3 linked regions of the Rattus norvegicus genome follow. The protein of the gene in region 1 purifies or fractionates together with the protein of each later gene. This does not show direct contact. Links are inferred from orthologs where the notes say so. Each region holds a gene or a part of one and is shown on either strand. Other genes may lie near its edges.

Evidence for each region.
Region 2: the proteins of Mta2 (region 1) and Zfp512b purify together in Homo sapiens (affinity purification with mass spectrometry; 3 studies listed by BioGRID and IntAct, with this or other methods). This does not show direct contact. The link is inferred for Rattus norvegicus from reciprocal best matches to the Homo sapiens genes MTA2 and ZNF512B.
Region 3: the proteins of Mta2 (region 1) and Bcl11a purify together in Homo sapiens (affinity purification with mass spectrometry; 4 studies listed by BioGRID and IntAct, with this or other methods). This does not show direct contact. The link is inferred for Rattus norvegicus from reciprocal best matches to the Homo sapiens genes MTA2 and BCL11A.

The regions. Positions count from the first base shown.
Region 1 is NC_086019.1:215,265,226-215,271,286, reverse strand, and holds the start of Mta2 (metastasis-associated protein MTA2), read right to left. Parts: upstream 4,002-6,061; 5' UTR 3,619-4,001; coding exon 3,591-3,618; intron 2,497-3,590; coding exon 2,429-2,496; intron 2,151-2,428; coding exon 2,057-2,150; intron 539-2,056; coding exon 421-538; intron 282-420; coding exon 218-281; intron 67-217; coding exon 1-66. Other genes in the region: Eml3 (echinoderm microtubule-associated protein-like 3), read right to left, coding at 4,634-4,837, 4,921-5,051, 5,283-5,381. UniProt on the Homo sapiens protein: May function as a transcriptional coregulator. Acts as a component of the histone deacetylase NuRD complex which participates in the remodeling of chromatin.
Region 2 is NC_086021.1:189,071,490-189,077,336, reverse strand, and holds the start of Zfp512b (zinc finger protein 512B), read left to right. Parts: upstream 1-2,129; intron 2,130-3,493; exon of another isoform or gene 3,494-3,499; coding exon of another isoform or gene 3,500-3,501; coding exon 3,502-3,625; intron 3,626-3,862; coding exon 3,863-4,005; intron 4,006-4,293; coding exon 4,294-4,422; coding exon of another isoform or gene 4,423-4,515; coding exon 4,516-5,102; intron 5,103-5,202; coding exon 5,203-5,429; intron 5,430-5,529; coding exon 5,530-5,601; intron 5,602-5,688; coding exon 5,689-5,835; coding exon of another isoform or gene 5,836-5,847. UniProt on the Homo sapiens protein: Involved in transcriptional regulation by repressing gene expression. Associates with the nucleosome remodeling and histone deacetylase (NuRD) complex, which promotes transcriptional repression by histone deacetylation and nucleosome remodeling.
Region 3 is NC_086032.1:102,229,325-102,235,517, reverse strand, and holds the start of Bcl11a (B-cell lymphoma/leukemia 11A), read right to left. Parts: upstream 3,839-6,193; 5' UTR 3,597-3,838; coding exon 3,542-3,596; intron 3,292-3,541; exon of another isoform or gene 2,658-3,291; intron 2,347-2,657; exon of another isoform or gene 1,370-2,346; intron 1,364-1,369; exon of another isoform or gene 1,219-1,363; intron 1,210-1,218; exon of another isoform or gene 994-1,209; intron 648-993; exon of another isoform or gene 132-647; coding exon of another isoform or gene 77-131; intron 1-76. UniProt on the Homo sapiens protein: Transcription factor. Associated with the BAF SWI/SNF chromatin remodeling complex. Binds to the 5'-TGACCA-3' sequence motif in regulatory regions of target genes, including a distal promoter of the HBG1 hemoglobin subunit gamma-1 gene.

The sequences.
Region 1 (6,061 bases):
CTCCCCTTGATCAGCCAGAAGTGTCTTCTGCACAGGGTCGAACACCAGTGAGTAAAAAAAGCAGTCCTGAAGGGGAAGAGAGGAGGTTGGTGGGAAGGAGTCCACTGAAAAGTGGGTCTACCCAGACTTCCCTGCTGAGGTCCTTTACCTCTTCACCTGTCTAAGCCTTTAGGAGGCAACATTTCCTCACCTCCCTCTTCTCTTAATACCTCCTCACCTCCTTTTCCAGATATTGGTTTAAGATATCCGTCTCGTTCAAGAGAGTCACACTGCACTTCCCCCTAAGAAAAAAAGACAGACCCAAAAAGTCCTGAATGAGCGACGCATCCCTTCTTATCTACCATCTCAATACACTACTCCTCTTCTCTCCATCTTTTAAATGAGGGCACGTAGGCCACAGTGACCCTGATCGTCCTATACCTTATGTGGGTGGCCGGTAATGATTCAAACTGCCGAGAAAGAAAAAGCTCTCGGTGCTTCAGTTGATGTCTCTGCTGCTCCGAGACCCCTGGCTGTTTTGATTCCTCCTCAAACTCCCCTAAAATGTTGAGGAAGAAACCAAGTCAGAAACTAACTCAGAAAACAGGCACCTTGCGCAAGGCCCTGGGTTCGGTCCCCAGCTCCGAAAAAAAGAACCAAAAAAAAAAAAAAAGAAAACAGGCACCTTGAACAGCTGGCCAGGCCAGGCCACCCTACCTCAGCTGCTGTACCTCACCTTCCTCGGGCCTCACTCTTACCCCACCAGCCTTTCCTTCTGGCTTATACCTCAGTGTGGATGTTCAGTCCTCTCTTTAACTCCATCAAAGGAAGTATCACATCCTTCTAATGTGAGAGCACACTGGTGCCACGGACGTGCACTCAAGCCTAGCTGCCAATACTGATGCCACACAGAAAGCACAAACGAAGCCGTGACACAGTGTGATGTCACATCAACTCTTTCTTGCACAACCAGCCCAAGGTCCTAAAACCCAGTTAAGAAGTAAAAATAGCACACATGGTTGCTGCCTGTTCACCAGCTTGCCACACTTCAGAACTAGTTGCTGTGTCTGAAACATCACACGCAACCTTATGCTCTTTCTCGCTCTACTTGGCTAATAATAGTTTGTGGGCTTTCAAGAAGAGCAACTCTGAAACCAGTGCCAACACCTTCCTCACCAAGAGGCAGCAGCTCACACTGAAGTCTTGGTAGAAACAGTTAACCTGGCTAAGTGCCAACCAAAGTGGAAGAGGACAGAAAATGTAGGCACATGTTTGTCGATGCATTGTTCCCCTGAAAAGTTGGGGGTACATTGCGGGGGGGGGGGGGGGGGGGTTGTCTCTGTGTGTATACTCTGGGAAACCCAGGGCTAGGGCAAGAAGGACCACACCCCCACTCCTTATGATTGGATAAGGCCAAGGTCAGCCCCTGCCAGATGGGGCTGGAAACCCCAAAGGGCCTAGAAACTTGGTAGGCACAGCTCATTAACCCTTTCACGACTATGGCCTGAAAAAGAATCTAGGAAGAAGAAAGGAGTTAAAAGAAACTAAGCAAAAAAAAGATAGAGATCACAGAGAAAATGCAGACAAAGCAAAAAGCAGTAAGGTTGGAATGGAGAGGAAAAAGAAGGCAGGAAAGCTCAAGAACTTCTCCTAGCTTCCTATCACCTCCATCACTCCCACTACAGCATAAGCCTCCTGCCTGTTCTGCAGGTTTCTCAAAACCTTCACCTTGACCATCACTCACTAACCACCGTCCCAAAGTCCCCACAATGTCCCCAGTGCCTCACTAACCGCTGTCCCAAAATGTCCCCAAGTGCCTGCTTCTCTAAAGCTCCTTTCATTTCCTATCTAAATATCTCCACACAGAAGCCACACTCTGGCTTTCCTTATCATGGTCTGCCCGCCCTGCTTCCAACCCCAACAAGTAACAACAGGCCTCCCTCCGCACACCAGGCACTTCCACCCCCAAACTCACGCCCTGCCTTGGGCCTGCTACCAGGGGAAACACCTGCAGGAACATGTCTAGTCCTCAGATCCTGGGGAGAGAGGAAGAGGGGTAACGCATGGAAGCACTCACTAGCATTGCTGTCCGCCAAGCTGTTGAGGCTACTAGAAATATCCCTTCGCCGGAAAAGGCAGACAACCTTTGCTTCCACATTTCCGTTTGCAGTCTAAAGGAGGGAGAAAAACATGACGAGGAAAACTGGCCATTTGAAAGTGAAGGTACACAGAGTCCAACAACAGCAGTATCTCCCTAAGGATCTACGTAGAAGAGACGGAAAGACTTAACATGAAGACAAAATTCAAAGATAATTTCAGGACCAATGAAAAGGGTCTCCATGAGTTTAAGATCAGCCTGGTCTACACAGCAAGTTCCTGGCAGCCAAGGTTACATAATAGAGAGACCCTGTATCCTGTATCTTTAAAAAAAAAAAAAAGCTTCACTCACCTTATTGAGCTCCTCAATCCGTCTAACCAGGTAAGGATTGCTGGAGGAGTTCTCAAAATAGACATAATCTGTAGAAGGGGGTGGGGAAGAAACAAGATGATCAGAGGAGAGTACCCAGAAGAGAAAGTCGGTCTGTGTGCACCAAAAAGAGACAAAATTCTAGGTAGCGATGAAGTGGAGATGAAGTGGAGATGAAGTGGAGATGTGCGAGAAGACATTTAAGAAAATAAGTATTCGCCATTAGCTGGACAGCAGTGGCATACGCGTTTAATCCCAACACTCTGGGAGGCCGAGGCAGGAGGATCTCTTGCTTCATAACCAGTCAGTTCTACAACTCACAGTTCTGGGACAGACCGGGCTACACAGAGAAACCTTGTCTAGAAAGAAACAAGGAAAAAAGAAATCTGCCTCAAAAAGGAAAGAGAGAGAAAAAAAGGGGGTGGGGGAGGGGGAAGGAAGGAAGGGAGGATGAAAGGAAGAAAGGAAGAAAAAGAGATTATGGAAATACTTTGCCAGGCGGTGGTGCCACACACCTTTAGTTCCAGCAGTCAGAAGGCAGAGGCAAGCGGATCTCTGAGTTCGAGGCCAGCCTGGTCTACAGTATAAGTTCCAGGACAGCCAAGGCTACCCAGAGAAGAAACCTTGTCTAGAAAGAACAAGGAAAAGAGGAGGAAATGAGTTTTTACCCCCTACACCTGCAACAACCAATTCTAAAGTCAGATCTTCACTCAAAAGTGGGACTTAAGAGATAAGAACAGGGGCTTCCCTGGAGTCCAAAGAACTTTGCACTGAAGTTGAACCCCTGTATCGGAGAATTGAGTAAACTGTTCAGGCCCCACCTTGGTGAACACACAAGACGCCACAGAAAAGAAAAACCCTGCGCGCCTGCCTCTCCAACGGCTGGCCCGGTGGTCACTCCGGCGCCTTCCAAGGCCACTTCCAGCCCAGCGATCAAGTCGCGGATCTCAGAGCACCGTTACGGCTGCAGGTATGTCTCTGCGGTAGACTCTGAGCCCGACAGCGTCGCCGCCGCGGAACCACAGCTCGGTTCCGGTTCCGGTCGGTGCCGCGGCCCGTACAACCCCAGATGTGGCTCCCCCGCGCTTACGGACACCGAGTCTCCCTGGTCCCGGCCTCAGCCTTTTCCGCCCAGGGTACTCACCTCCTACCCGGTACATGTTAGCCGCCATGGCCGTTCCCGCCGCCGCCTCCGGCCACACAAAGAGGTCCGGGAGGCTCGCGGGGGCAAAGCTCAGCTCCAGACGAAGCCCCCAGCGCGGGGCTGACGCTTCGCGGAAGTGTCGATGGGGCCCGAGCAGCCGGCACCTCTGCTCACTCAGCCGTCGCGGTTCATCACTGCCCGCGCGACGACAACGCTGCTATAGCCTCACGCCGGGATACCGAGGCCGGCTCCGGTCTGCTCGCCTTCTTCCGGAACGAGCTCGGTTCCTGCCTGACCGGAGTCAGGTTCCGGCTCCTAGCGTCCTCACCGAGTCCCAGCAGACGTCGTGTGGTGCCAACCGCTGGGAAGGTTTGCCCTGCCCGCGTCCGGGTTCGCCTCCTTCCGGAACACCTTCGGCCGATCCGGAGAACAAGGCCCAGCTCTCGGCTCAGGTCGGAGAGCAAGACCCCACCGATCGGCCACTTCCGGAAGGAACTCGGCTCCTTTCGCTCAGCCGCGGCCCCGCGCTCGGTTATTTCCGTTACAGCTCGACCCCGCCCTCGAGGGCGGTGGGGGAGCTAGAATTAACTCTTTGCACTATGGGTCCTAGCAACTCCGACGGTGGCGCCTAGGGCGGGCGCGCGCGCGCCCTCACGCATCTTAAAGTTATTTGCAAGCCGCTTTGCCTGTTATTTGCATATTTGGTCTGAGCTCCCTTTTCTCTTCCCGCCCTGCACTTTTTTCTTTCATTCTAACACAACTGGGCCCCTGAGGGACCCGCCGCACAGAAGTACCAGGCAGTGACTTTTTTCTTTTTATTGCCCCTCACCGGGCAGAGTGTCAGAGTTGAATTGCCCGGCTCAACCAGCAAGTCTGTTATTGTGTGCAATGGGGTGGTTCACCCCTCCAGGAAAATGCGCAATTGGGAATGTATTAAGTCAAAGAAAAAGCCAGCCCAGGAAAAGACTGTCCTTGGTCCTAGGGGTTTTGGCCAGGGTGGGGCCAGACCACAGTACCAGAAGGACAAGACCTTCCGGCATCAATCACACGTCCAGGGAGGAGGCAGGGGACAGAGAGGGAGTTCTAGATGGCGTGGCAGGAGCGGGTCCAGAGCTCCCTGCCCCCAGCACTCGCCACTGAAAGATGCTAGCATCCTTGCCACCTAAGGAGACAAGGAATGAGTCGTCGTGTGTGAACCGGACACTAGTCACATGGCTGCCATGGCCTGAGTACATACGACTTGGAGCCTAGATGAGAAAAAAAGAAACAGTTGCAGCAATGGCAGGGTCCCAAACCTACCCTCCTGGGCCCAGTGGTCCCGAGGCCTCACCTTGGCTCGAGCGCATGGGTACTGAAAGAGGTGTACTTTGCAGAAGTCGTCTGCCACGGCCACCACCCGTTCATTGTGGGAGCGGCAAAGGGAGTTGATGTCTGTCCCGTCAGAGCCATCAGGCCACACACCTAACACAACAGGTAGCCTGAGCCAGGCTGCTACCCACAACCTAGAGCTGCAGTGTTTTCAGGTTGCCACTGTGTGATCCAGACAATCCTTCCAGTCCCAAGGGGCCGCCTGACCTGGATTTGCCGCCATGACCCCCACCCAGAGGGTGGCACACACCCAGTATTCTGAGCCCGGAATGGGTTCCTCCTTGTTTCCCCAGCCCTCCTAAAGGGATCCGGATTCTGGCTCACCATAGACGTGGAAGCCCAGCACACAGGTATAGGTGGCCCACTCACGGTCTCTGCTTTCGTAGCGATTCCTTAGCAGCTTGCAGCCTCCAGCCACATCCCCTAGGTGGAAATTGTCCCTACTCAGCTGTCACTCTTCCCTCAGAGAATGTGAACTGATCATAGGTACAGTGTCCATTATGACCCCCATTGTGTGCTTCCTAAGTTCACACTGAAGCTGTTTGATTTGGTTTGGCTTTGAGCTAGCCCTGCATAGTGGTACATGCCTTTAATCTGAGTACTAGAGAGGCAGACCAATCTCTGAGTTGAGAGCCACTCTTGTCTACAAAGTGAGTTCCAGGACAGCCAGGTGACAGAGGGAACCCTGTCTCAGAAACAGAGAAGCTAGCCTAGGCATCCCTGGAACTTTCCATTCCTGCCTCAAACTCTGGATAAAGTACTGACAGTTTCTCATCAGCTTCTCCTTCTTAAATAAAGTACCCCATCCCCATACACTTGCCCTAAGAAGCTATCCCAAAGCAAAGTCTTCTTAGTGCATCATTCTTTTTCCTTAATGTTGTATTTTGAGGCACAGTCTTCCTATGTAGCCTTGGCTGGCCTGGAACTCACTATGTAGATCAGGCTGGCCTTGAACTCACAGAAATCTAGCCACCTACCTCTGCCTCTCAAGTTCAGGAATTAAAGGCATGCACCACAATGCCTGGTCCATTTTTCAACTCCCTTGAGTTCTTGTTGGAAAAGAGACAGTGTGAAAGTGTAGTTTACCTACTTACTGGATTGTT
Region 2 (5,847 bases), on another chromosome or scaffold:
TTTTTTTTTTTTTTTTTCGGAGCTGGGGACCGAACCCAGGGCCTTGCGCTTCCTAGGTAAGCGCTCTACCACTGAGCTAAATCCACAGCCCCTTCTGTGATCATTCTTGTCTGCCTCTCAAATGTCTCCCTTTAAATTTAGGGTTCACTTAGGCAATCCAGATAGATCTCAGAAACTTCAGTCACTATCACTGCAGCTTAACATGGTTATTCGTTGGGGCTCACTCTTCAGCCTGACATACACAGCACATGAAGCACACACCCTAAACACAGACATACAAATAGGAACCTAGAGGTATAAGCCAGAAACAGTGAAACGACACCCAGACATGCTTGAATATGTACAAACACACTTGCAGGTTTGGCCAGACAAGGGTATGTATAAAGTTTTGTAACATCCCCATCTGCACAGATATAATTACCCAAGCGCACAAATGCTAGTGCATAATCACCCACTAACACTAGAAGTGCCATACCACATGGTGCATATGAGTGCACTACATTGTAAGACTTCTTGACACTTAAATATGCACACCTATACACACACACACACACACACACACACACACACACACACAATTACAGGGAGGTGGGGCTGGAGAGAGAATACAGTTGCTGCTCTTGCAGAATTGAGTTTCCAGCACCCTCCTCAGGCAGCTCACAACTGCCGGTAGCTTCAGGGGATCTAATGCCCTCGTCTACATTATGATGCCCACGCATGACCACCACCTGATAACACATGGCCACTTAGACACATAACAACCTATGGACGTTGGTAGATCACATTTGTGAAAACTCATATTTACACAGGGAATGCTGACAACCTTGAACGCAGCACCTCAAGGTATGCACACTGATCTCCACCAACATTCTGATGTTCCACATCCTGGGAGAATCACAGAAGGTGACACATGCCTTTAATCCCGGCATATGGGAGGCAGAGACAGGCAGATCTCTGAATTTGATGCTGGCCTGGTCTACAAAGGGCTACACAGTGAAACCCGTTTGAAAAAACAGTGGGGGCGGGGCTGGGGGGGGCAGGTGACAATGTTATGACTTCCAAATGAAAGCTGAATTTTTCTCTTCTCTATCGAGTGCTCCTGTGGAGCCCCAGACTTGGCACTCTACTTCCTTATCAGCCAGCCTGCTCCCCCCTAGTCTGTCAAAGGGGTGTTTACTTCTCTGCTTCATTTATTCCCAAGTCCTGTGGGCTGGGATGCCATTCACCACCACCGTCCAGTCCAGATCCTACCCTAGCTCTGGGCCAGAGAAGCTCGGTACTGGCTGTTGGTCTAGGACCACTGTTCACAAAGGGAGAAGTTGATTCAATAGCTAGTAACGCCAATAAAGCCTATTGGTCTTAACAGTGTCTAGATTGACTAAGGTGGCCTCAGGGACAGATAGAGGCTGAGGTACGCCCTGACAGCCTATGGATGTCCTGTAACTCTTCATAGGATCTACTTCAGCTAGCGCAACCACACAGCTTGCTTAGTCTGTGAGACATGATCTGGGGTAGTGTCCAGAGTTCCTGACGTGCCTCAGTTTACTGGACTGTCTACAAAGCGACTCCTGCCCTAGGCGCGAGTGACAGATCTCTTGGCCCTGGAGGCGAGTACCACCTAGTCTACGGATCTCTCCGTGGAGCGGCAGACCGGCCCCACTGGCCCCTTCCCCGCAGCGCCGGCCGCGTGAATACCGCGAGAGTTCGCCCCCTCCCCCCCACCCCACCCCCCCGCGCAGTAAAACTGTCAAAGGTAGGAGGGGCGGGAGCGCGCATGTGCGCAGCACGGCGCGCAGTGTGCGCCGCCCGGACCCCGCGCCCCGCGCCCCGCGCCCCGGCCCGGCTCTGGCTCCGGCCTTGCCCGGCCGCACCCCTTGGGCGCGCTGCAGGTAAGCGCCGGCACTGCCTGCTCTACCGCGGTCCCGGCGCCACCCGCGCCCCGCACCAGCCCTGTGCCCCGCCCGCCTCCCCGCCGCGCCCGGACCCGCGCCGCGCCCCACTCCCCGCGTCGGCGCCGTCCTCCCGCCTCCTCCTCCAGAAAAAGTCGCCATTTTGGTTCACTGCCTTCGCCCCCCCGCGGTCGGCGCTTCCGGGCCAGGCTGCAGCCCGTGTCCGGCCTCAGGTGACAGGTGGGTGGCCACGGGCCTCCAGGTGCGCCTCTTGGCTGCGCTCGCCAGGCCAGGCGGAGTGGCCTGAGTCGGTGGTAGCGTCCTCTTCCCTGGAGGATACAAGGGAGATCTCAGGGACCCCAGGTGGAGGAGGGGTTTCCTCCTACTCTGGCGACCAGGCCTTACCCCTAATTCTGATCTCTGAAAGACTGGAATGTTGCAGCAGGCCGTATACCCCGGGCCTCAAATGTAGTCGGGGTTCTGGATAACTCATTTCCTTCTGAAGCTGCAAAACGAGGATATCCCGAGAACTTTGGTTGACCTAAGACCCTCCTCCCCTCCCCTAGGCCCAGGATGTTGCCCTTGGCAATGGACAGTGATTGTCCTGACCTCTGACCTTAGCACTTTTGGATATAGCAGCCCCTACCCAACCACACTGATTTGAGTTGATCAAAAACTGTTAAGAGAAGGCTCACCTGCTTGAACCTTGCTCTTTGGTACCGCCCCCTTCTGTGGGTTTGGGTGCCTCTGAGAGGCCTCAACATGCTGTGCTCAGAGCCTTCCTCAGTTTTCAGGGTATGTGGTGCTTCGAGCAGAACAGTCCCTGGAGGCCCAACCCCAGGGCAGCAGCATGCATATTCTATAGCCTCTGCTTGCCAGTACTGGCTATAACTTGTTTAGCCGAAGTTGCTTCCTAGGCCAGGAACCTAGAAGCTATTGAAAATAGCAAGAAATGGTGGCTGCTAGGCTGTGGTGGTTCAGGGGCTGACCTGGTGCCTTCATCTGGGGGGGAAGGGGCCCTGGCTGCACAGAAGGTTGAGAAGGCAGGCAGGTAGGATGGCTCAGCAAGCATGGGGACCAAAATATATTTCTAGTGAGTATATTTCACTTTACCAACCAGAGAGGCAGGAGCATGTGGTGGGGAAGTGGCTCCTGTGCCTGTGGAGAGGTCTTCAAGGGTGCTTATCTGGGTGCTCAGCCATCCCTGAGGTGGATGATGTGGCTGCCTGTGAGCCAGCAACCATTACTAGTGTTAATTGTCCCCTATGAGGAATATTATCAGTCTCGCTCAATTGCATGGGCCCCTTGTGAACACAGGCCCCACCTGATCCTCAGCACCCTTTGGTCTCATGTGTCTAGATGAGGGTGTAGGTGAGTGTGTCAAATGGAGTAGGGTCTCTGCTCTTGTACGCTGCTCAAGCCTTCTGGGTTATTTAGAAAGACCTTGTCTGTGCAACCCCTCTCTAAGTTAGAAGCTTAAGTCACTTGTGTTTTGATGCGAAAGATACAGGAGGTCAGGCCTAGACAGTCATATTGGGGGCCTCTAGGATAACCCCAGTGGAGGCCTGGGTTGAGCCTATTCATCTCATAGGTCTGTACTTACTCTGCAGAGATGACGGAATCTTTCTGTGTTGGAGGAGGCCGTCGGCTTCAAGGATCCAGCAAAAGTGGACCTGGAAAGGGAGGCAGCCGGAAGGAGGTCCAGCTTCCCTTGTTGCAGGACCCACCAAAGCTGGGTGAGGAGCTAAGGCAGAAATCAGTTGTAGAGGGTACAGACAGTCAGTGGTAGAGTTACCTCCTTGGGCAGCCTGAGGACCTGTGTGGGCTGGAGATTGTTAGCCTGTTGTAGCCAGGCTCTTGACCTAGTCCCTGGGCCTTGATATGGGTGAGCCAAGACTCAGTCTGGGCTTCCTGCCCCTTGGGGTTCGGAGATATTGTGCAGCCACTGAGCCTTGCTGTCTCCTGTACTATAGGGATGCCAGTGGTCCACAGTGGACATACAGTGCCTAGCCAGGCCCCACTCTGCTTTGACCCCGGAAACTCAGCCAGTGACAAGACAGAAGGGAAGAAAAAAGGGAGGCCGAAAGCCGAGAACCAAGCTCTCCGAGATATTCCTGTGAGCTCCCTGAGGGTTAGAGTGGGGATCATTCTATTGAGTCTGTGAAGGCCACTTCCATGTCCTTACCAGCCCTCCATACATCCTGTGCCAGTTTGTCTCAGCATGTACCCTAGGGCCCTTGCGTCTGTTACCAAGTCCCAGTGGGCTGTTAGTAGTCACCAGCATAGGTCTGCAGCATGGCTTGAATTCTTGGTCTGCTCTTGAGGTTGAAGGGCTTATTTGGCTTGGGGGAGCTGTGAGTCTGGGTAGCTACAGGTCAGCAGCTTGGCCTTTTCCTCTGCCCAGCTCTCTCTGATGAACCAGTGGAAAGATGAATTCAAGGCACACTCAAGGGTGAAGTGTCCAAACTCAGGGTGCTGGCTAGAGTTCCCCAGCATCTATGGGCTCAAGTACCACTATCAGCGGTGCCAAGGGGTAAGGGGCTGTGGGTCAGGGAAGAGGAGGCCTGGGGGTGCATCTGGGCAGAGGCCCCCGGGGCCCCATCCCACACCTGCCCTCCCTGCCCAGGGCGCTATCTCAGATAGGCTGGCCTTCCCTTGCCCCTTCTGCGAGGCCGCATTCACCTCCAAGACCCAGCTGGAGAAGCACCGGATTTGGAATCACATGGACCATCCCCTACCTGCCCCCAAGCCTGGCCCAGTCAGCCGGCCAGTCACCATCAATCGGCCTGTTGGGGTCAGCAAGCCCATCGGAGTGAGCAAACCTGTTACTGTTGGCAAACCAGTGGGAGTCAGCAAGCCCATTGGCATCAGTAAGCCAGTCACAGTTAGTAGGCCTATACCAGTCACCAAGCCTGTCACAGTCAGTAGGCCCATGCAAGTCTCTAGGCCTGTGCCAGTCACCAAACCCATCCCAATCACCAAACCTGTGCCACTCACCAAACATATGCCAGTTACCAAGCTTGTGACAGTTTCAAAACCTGTGCCACTCACCAAGCCAGTACCAGTCAGCAGGCCCATTGTGGTCAGCAAGCCTGTGCCGGTCAGCAGGCCCATCGCCATCAGCAGACACACACCACCCTGCAAAATGGTGTTGCTGTCCAAATCTGAGAACAAAACACTTCGTGCTACAGGCAAGAACAGCAATAAGAAAAGGTACAGGAAGTCATTTGAGGTGGTGAGTTGTCATGTGTGCCTTGAGGGGGTGAGAGGGCTACTGGGTTTGCCTGGACCTCACCTTGCCTGCCACTTACAGGGCTGCAGACAGTTTGGACACCTGCCCCATCCTGCCCAAGCAGGCCAGGCAGGAGAATGGAGAGTATGGCCCATCCACTGTGGACCAGAGTGTGACCTTCCAACTGAGTACAGATCCTAGCAACAGCTCCCTGCTGCCAGGCAGCAGGCCCCTGATGGGCAAAGAGGCATTGCGGCCTATAGGTCCAGTGTCCCAGCCAGAGGAGGACCCTGAGCGCACAAAGCACAGTAAGACAAGAGCCCTGGGGAGACTGGCCATGATGGGCTCTGGCCTTTCAATGACTATGTGACCAGGGTCTTGGCACTCATTTTCTCTCCCCTGAGTCAGGAAGGAAGCAGAAAACACCGAAGAAATTCACAGGGGAGCAGCCATCTATCTCAGGGACCTTTGGGCTCAAAGGTAAGACCCCAGCTAACTGAACACTCCTGGAACTGAGGATGTCAGTAGTTGGCCCATGTATCTTATCCATCCTCTATGTGCACACAGGCCTGGCCAAAGCTGAAGACAAGGCTCGAGTTCATCGCTCCAAGAAGCAAGAGGGATCAGGCTCTGAGGAAGTGCGGAAGAAGGTGCTGGCCACCCCTGTTACTGTCAGCAAGGAGGCACCAACTCCTGTGGCCCACCCAGCCCCAGGTGGGGGCTGCC
Region 3 (6,193 bases), on another chromosome or scaffold:
GCCGAGAGCCGGTTCCCGGAACCGGCCAGTTGTTGGAAAAAGGAAGTAAGGTTTTTGGAAAACTGAGCCGGACAACCTGATCGAGTCTTGGCTTCCCCGCGCACACCCCGAGCGCGGGTCCTGAAATTCATTCTGTGTGCACAGGCTAACACTTTTACTTTGGAGGATCTGTGCAAATGTGTTTCGCCCGCAATTCCGGGCACCGTGTGCGCGCCAGGCGGCGACCGCGGTTATTCATTATTAATGACGCTGCTAGCCCGCATCATTATGATGATAACTATTACTATTGTTGTGATTTCGGGCTTCCAGGCGAGAGCTGCAGGAGGCGGGGAGGGGGAGCGTTGGGTTGCCAAGCCGTCCGGTAAGCCTGCGGTGGCCGCAGAGACCTGCGCTCTGCGCGGGGATGGGGGTGGAAAAAAAGTGAACCTAGAAGCCAAGGGCAAACTTGCCACATCCCTGTGTTCGGCCGTGCCCCTAAACTCGAGAGAACACTCTCCATCCCTCGCCACCAAAAATGCCTTCCCAGAAAGGACCCCAGCGTGCACCCGGCTCCCCGCCGGGAGCTCCCGGGTCCTCTCGCACGTGGGGGTGTCGGCTGCGCGCCCCAGCGCTTCTCCACGGCCCTAGCCAAAAGCATTTTTTTAAGTCAAAATGAAGAACAAAGACCTAAGGGGTAATGGGGGGTGGAGAAAGGGAATTCAGCCTAACCGTTCGTTGCCCCCCACCCCCACTCTCCCAACGCTCGTCCCTCCCCCGCCGAGAAACGCCGGGCAGGGGGTGGGGTAGGCTCTGGTACAGGTTCAAGTTCGTGGAGCTTTTCTTGATCTTGTTCTGCCTCCTAGCGACCAAATGGCTCATTCAGTCCACGTAGCTGAGGACGGGGCTGGGGGCGGGGGTGGGGGGGTAGAGGGGGTGGAGGGGAAGTCCTACGGACCCGGCAGGCTCCTGCCCTCTAAGCACCCAGAAAATGAAAGACGTGATCCCTGCACATACCCCTCCATCTGGCCTCCTAGTCCAGTGTCCTTCCCGGGACAACAGCGAGACTAGCCCTCCCAGCCTGGAGAGGCCCAGAAGAGACCTAAGTGGGAGGAGAGTACTGAGCAACTCGGACTGCGCCTCCCACACTGTCCCTCTCGCCCCTCATGGCATCCTTCCGAAAGTCCCAATGTCCCGGCTTTCCCGAGTCCTGCGAACACTGCCCTTCCTTCCCGCCGGTACCTGGCCGGGCTGTAACTTCACACCGTCGCGCGCCGCGTCTGCTCTGTATCCGGCGCGGCCGGTGGGAGTGGGGGCGGGGGAGAGCGGCGAGGGAGAGATGCGCGGGGGTGGGGAGAGGGAGGGCCCCGCAACGTGCCAGGGCGGGGGAGCTTCTGAAGTGTGTGACAAGTTCCAGGGCCCAGAGGGAAAAATATTCAATTCCCAATGAGCACCCCACCCTCGACAAATGCAGGAGAGACATGGGGGTCCTTCAAGCTTTCGTCGAAAAATAAGAGTCATGAGTGAAAAAGAAGGAATTGAAGGGGGGCTTGGGGGGGAGGCTCTATGTCTTTTCTTACTGGACTCAAACTTTCCTAAGTGCCCACCACCAGCCTCTCCCAGCACACCTCAAGTAGAGATTATCGTCACCGCCACTAACACTTTACATAAACTCACAGAAACCCCTGCCCAAGACAGGCCCAGGGTAGAGGGCAAGAACCCAAAGGTGAGGCTCACTGAGTGCGGGGACCCTGCACCCCCAAAATGCACACTCAACACACTTCTCCTGCCCCGCCCCCTCCCCAACCTAGCCAAGAAACTGCTTTGGTCCGAGAGGCTACTGGCCAGATTTGGGGGGGGGGGGCTGTAAGCACGTGGTAACCTCTCAACGGCCCCAGAGTTAAGGACAAGAGGAACCTAAAAGAGTACCCCGGGTGCAGTTGAAGGGACTAGCAAAACTCGCCTTTACAGTTGCTTTGCAAAATTAAAAAAAAAAAAATGTTTTGCAAAACCGAGTTTCATCCAGCAGCTTTCGCTGTCTGAGAGGTCGGTGGGAGGGTTGGGTATTGTGCTAGGGGCGGACCAGAGCGCAGGCCGGGCTGGCGGAGTCGCAGCGTGGCCTGCCGCCCTGCCTGGCGGGTGGGCGGCGAGCGCCGGGTGGGCGATCTCGACTCCAGACTAGGGCACGGCGAGGTCGGGCGAGGCCCAGCCGCTGCGGCCGCCTGCTCCAGGGCTGCCGCGGCGCGCTCGGTCCTCTGTCTGTTTGTTGGCAGGAGGCTCCCGCACACGCGGTGCTTGTAAACATTCAGACACGAGATTTTTCCCAATCAAAATCCACTTCCACTTTTTTTGAAAATCTTCCAAAAAATAGTAAGAGGAGGGAGTTCCTCGCTTCCCTCTCCATGCCGCCGGGTTCTAAGTTTGCAACTTGATGGGGTTTGGGGGAAGGGGTGTCAGGGATTTTTTTTTTCCTTTTCTTTTTTCCCCCTCTCTTTTCTCTATTAAAGACTGGAATTTCTGCAGGGGTGGGGGTGCGAACGAATCCAGGAAAGAGGTGAAAAATACGACTGGCAGAATGTTTGGCTTCTTTGGGGGAGCAAGAAATTGTACATTCTCTTGCGTTGCTTAAATTTATTAATTTTTTTTATTTATTTTGCGCATCTTCGCCTCGTCTCCTTCAGGGCTCACCCAGGAGGGGCGGGCAGCAGCAACCCAGCAGCGGAGACTCCTGCACCCGCCCGCCCTCCCTCTACCGCGTGCCCCTGGCTGCCTCTTCGCTCGGCCCTTGCTCCTGCCCTTCGGCAGCGGTGGCGGCGCAGGAGGGCAAGCGCGAGGAGCCCGCACAAAAGGCGGCGGGACAAACACCCACCTCCGGCCGGAACAAAAGACGGCAGCGCCGGGCGCGACTCCGGTCCTTCCCGGTCACCCGGCCCTCCCAGCCGCTGCAGCCCCTCTCCCCGGACTCGGCTGACTGGGAAGCGCCAGCGGCTCTCTTCTACAGTCCCACTTTCGTACTATTGTGGGGGTGACTACTTTCCTCCCACTGCACACTTGACCATGCACACGTTGGCGTCCTAAGGCCGGTCTCACCTCTTTTCTCCCCAGGAATTGTTTTTCAGACTTGACTCCCTCCCTCCCCCCCCCTCCATTTTCCTATAGTGAAGTGGAAACAACCCCCTTTCCTTCAAGCTCCCACCCCCAGGTTTGCATGTGAGTGTCCGCGTCCTTAGCATTGTTCATTATTTTTGCAAAACTAGGGTAGAAATCATTGCATTCCTTTTTCAAAGAAGGAATAAAGCGGCGGAGAGAAGGAAAGAGGAGGAGTCAATTTTTTTATAAAAATTAAAAAGATGCGTGCCGTCTCAAAAGTGCACACGGTTCTCGTTCGAGAGGGCATGAGGGGCTTTTTCCCTTTTAATCTCTTTTTACTTCGACTACCGAAGGTTTTTCACCTGAAAAAAATTTAATGCATGCACACACCCCTCTCTTAACCTCACTCTTGCTTAGCGTCCCGCGCGCCCTCGTGATTATTAATAATTATTATTACTATTATTGGGTTACTTACGCGAGAATTCCCGTTTGCTTAAGTGCTGGGGTTTGCCTTGCTTGCGGCGAGACATGGTGGGCTGCGGGGCGGGCGGGCGGCGGCGGCGGCGGCGTGCGGACGACGGCTCGGTTCACATCGGGAGAGCCGGGTTAGAAAGAAGGAGACTCCAGAGAAAATATCTTCATCAGTGCCTTTTGACATCCAAAATAAATTAGAAATAATACAAAGATGGCGCAGGGAAGATGAATTGTGGGAGAGCCGTCATGGCTTTTTTTTTTTTTTAAGAAAAAAAAAAGAGAGAGAGAGGAAGAGAGAAGAGGGATAGAGGGAGAGAGAGAGAGAGAGATGAAAAAAATGGCAAAAGCCCCCCTGAGCTGCAAGTTCAAGTGCGGACGTGACGTCCCTGCGAACTTGAACGTCAGGAGTCTGGATGGACAGAGACACACAAAACATGGGCAGGGCGAGCAGGAGAGAAGGGGAGGAGGGAAGGGGAAGCTCACACCAATGGACACACATCAGGGGCTGGACATGAAAAAGAGACCAGGACAAGCCAATGGCCAGTGCGGGGCGGGGGAGGTGCGGGGCGGGGGGCTCCGCAGACGCCAGACGCGGCCCCTGGGGGGAGGGGCGGGCAGAGGGGAGGGGGCTCTGGGGCGGCTGGCTCACCAGTGGCCGCAGCGAGCGCCGCGGCGGTGGCGTGGCCCGGAGAGAAGAAAGGGGCGGCCGGGTGGGAGGGAGGAGTGAGGGGGAGCAAGACTTGCGCCCCGCTCCACTCCCCCCGACACACACACACACTCACCGACCCCAAAATGAAAAATTATTGAAGTGGGGGGTGGGGGCAGAGTGCTCCAAGACGCTGCAAGCCCAGAGTCAAGAGAGGAGCGGGCGGAGGGAAACCAGGTAGAGTAGGTCCCGGACACCCTCCTCCGCTCGCACACCCACTTCCCCTCCCCGCCAGGGGACGCCGGGGACCGGAGTACTAGCCCCGAGCTCGTGGCAGCGCTCGAGAAACTTTGCCCAGTGAAAGCTAGGAAAGAAAAAAAAAAAAATCACCCGAAGTTGAGAGCTGAGCGTCCAAGTTAAGAGCTCTGCTGCGGGCTAGGGAAGACGGGCGGGAGCGCGCTGGAGAGAGAAATCCAGCCCAAGTTTGGAGGGTCGTGTGTCCGGAAGGCCAGTGCCGGGGCCCGGGGAGAAGCCGACGCCGCCTGGAGAGAGGCGGTTGGGGCGAGGCTGGCGGCGCAGGCCTGGGCTCGAGGGCCGAGAGCGCGCCCCCAAGGCCAAGTCAGGGACCCGGGATCTGAGCGACCCTACAAACAGTCGGGGGCTGAATGCCACTGAAGCCCTGAATCCCCAGCTCCCGAGGATTGCAGGAACAGAAAGGTCGAGATACAGAGACCGAGGAGCCAGATTCCGGGTGTGTTTCAGTCCCCAGATGGGAGCACTCGGGGCCAGGGCTCGAGGCGCCCAAGCGTCCACCTCTGAGCAGTCGGCGGCCCGAGGACAAAGCACGGGTAGCCCCAGGAGCCCGGGTCTCTGGGAACCTGCTCGCCGCGCCGCGGGAGGTCCCGGAGCCTGATCCCGGGGAGGGACACACCCCCTCCCACTCCGGGCCACTGCGAAAGCACTGAGCGAAGGACAGAAAAATGTTTCTTACGGACAGAACACAATTGTTCCTAAGCTGTTACTCGGGGAAAGAGAAAATGGGGAAAAGGAAAGAAAACTGGCTAGCAGGAGCTGCGGGGGGGAACCACGGTGGTGAGACCCTCGGGTCACGGCCGCGCTGCCCAGGCGCCAGCAGCCACCACGCACACCCGGGACCCCGGAGGCCCCCCTCGGTCCCCTCTGCAGACCTTCCCTGGAAATTAGAGAAAGACCTGTTGGAAATAAACCCCTGTCTCTTTAATGCACACGCGCGCGCGCGCTGCCGCTGTCAAAAAGCGGGCTTCGCTCTGGCGTGGGATACTTTCAGTTTTACGTAAAATATACAGCAACAGCACCCCCTGCGATTGGAAAGTTTATTCAGAAACGTGCTGCAAAGTCCCCCGGCGTCTCCCGCCTCCCAGCCTCCCAGCCTGCCTGCACCTCCCTGCAGCCGCCGCCGCCGCCGCCGCCGCCGCCGCAGCAGCAGCAGCAGCAGCAGCAGCAGCCGCAGCAGCCGCAGCAGCAACAGCCAGGGAGACCGCGCTCGGGGTCCAAATCTAGCTGCGCCCAGGCGGGGGCGGGGGATGGACAGAGTCCCTGGGAGGCGCCGAGGGCGCAGGGTGGAGACCCGAACTGCAGGTGGAGGTCTGTGAGTCTCTGCAGAGCCAGGAGCCTTCCTCCCCTCTCCTCTAGACCTTGCACCCAGAGTCCTCGCACCCCTCCTCTGAGAGGTGTCCTATCCGTAAATTCGCCCACCCGCCGGGGGATTGTATTGTTTTAAGGCAGGGCCCTGGGCTTGCACATGCTCGCCCACCTCCCAGCCTCACTGGCTTGTGGCTGTTTATTCCTGTGTCTTAGGAAAGTTTCAAACCTATTAGAAAATGGCTTGCCTGACTCGGCGAAGCTTCGGGCCCCTCTGAGTTAGAAATACAGGTTTTGATGCCCTGCGCTAGGAGAGCTATGGGCTAGACTGGTTTGGGGAATGCTGTTTCCCTCTAGCTGGTTTTCCTGGCGGCGGCGGGGGTGGGG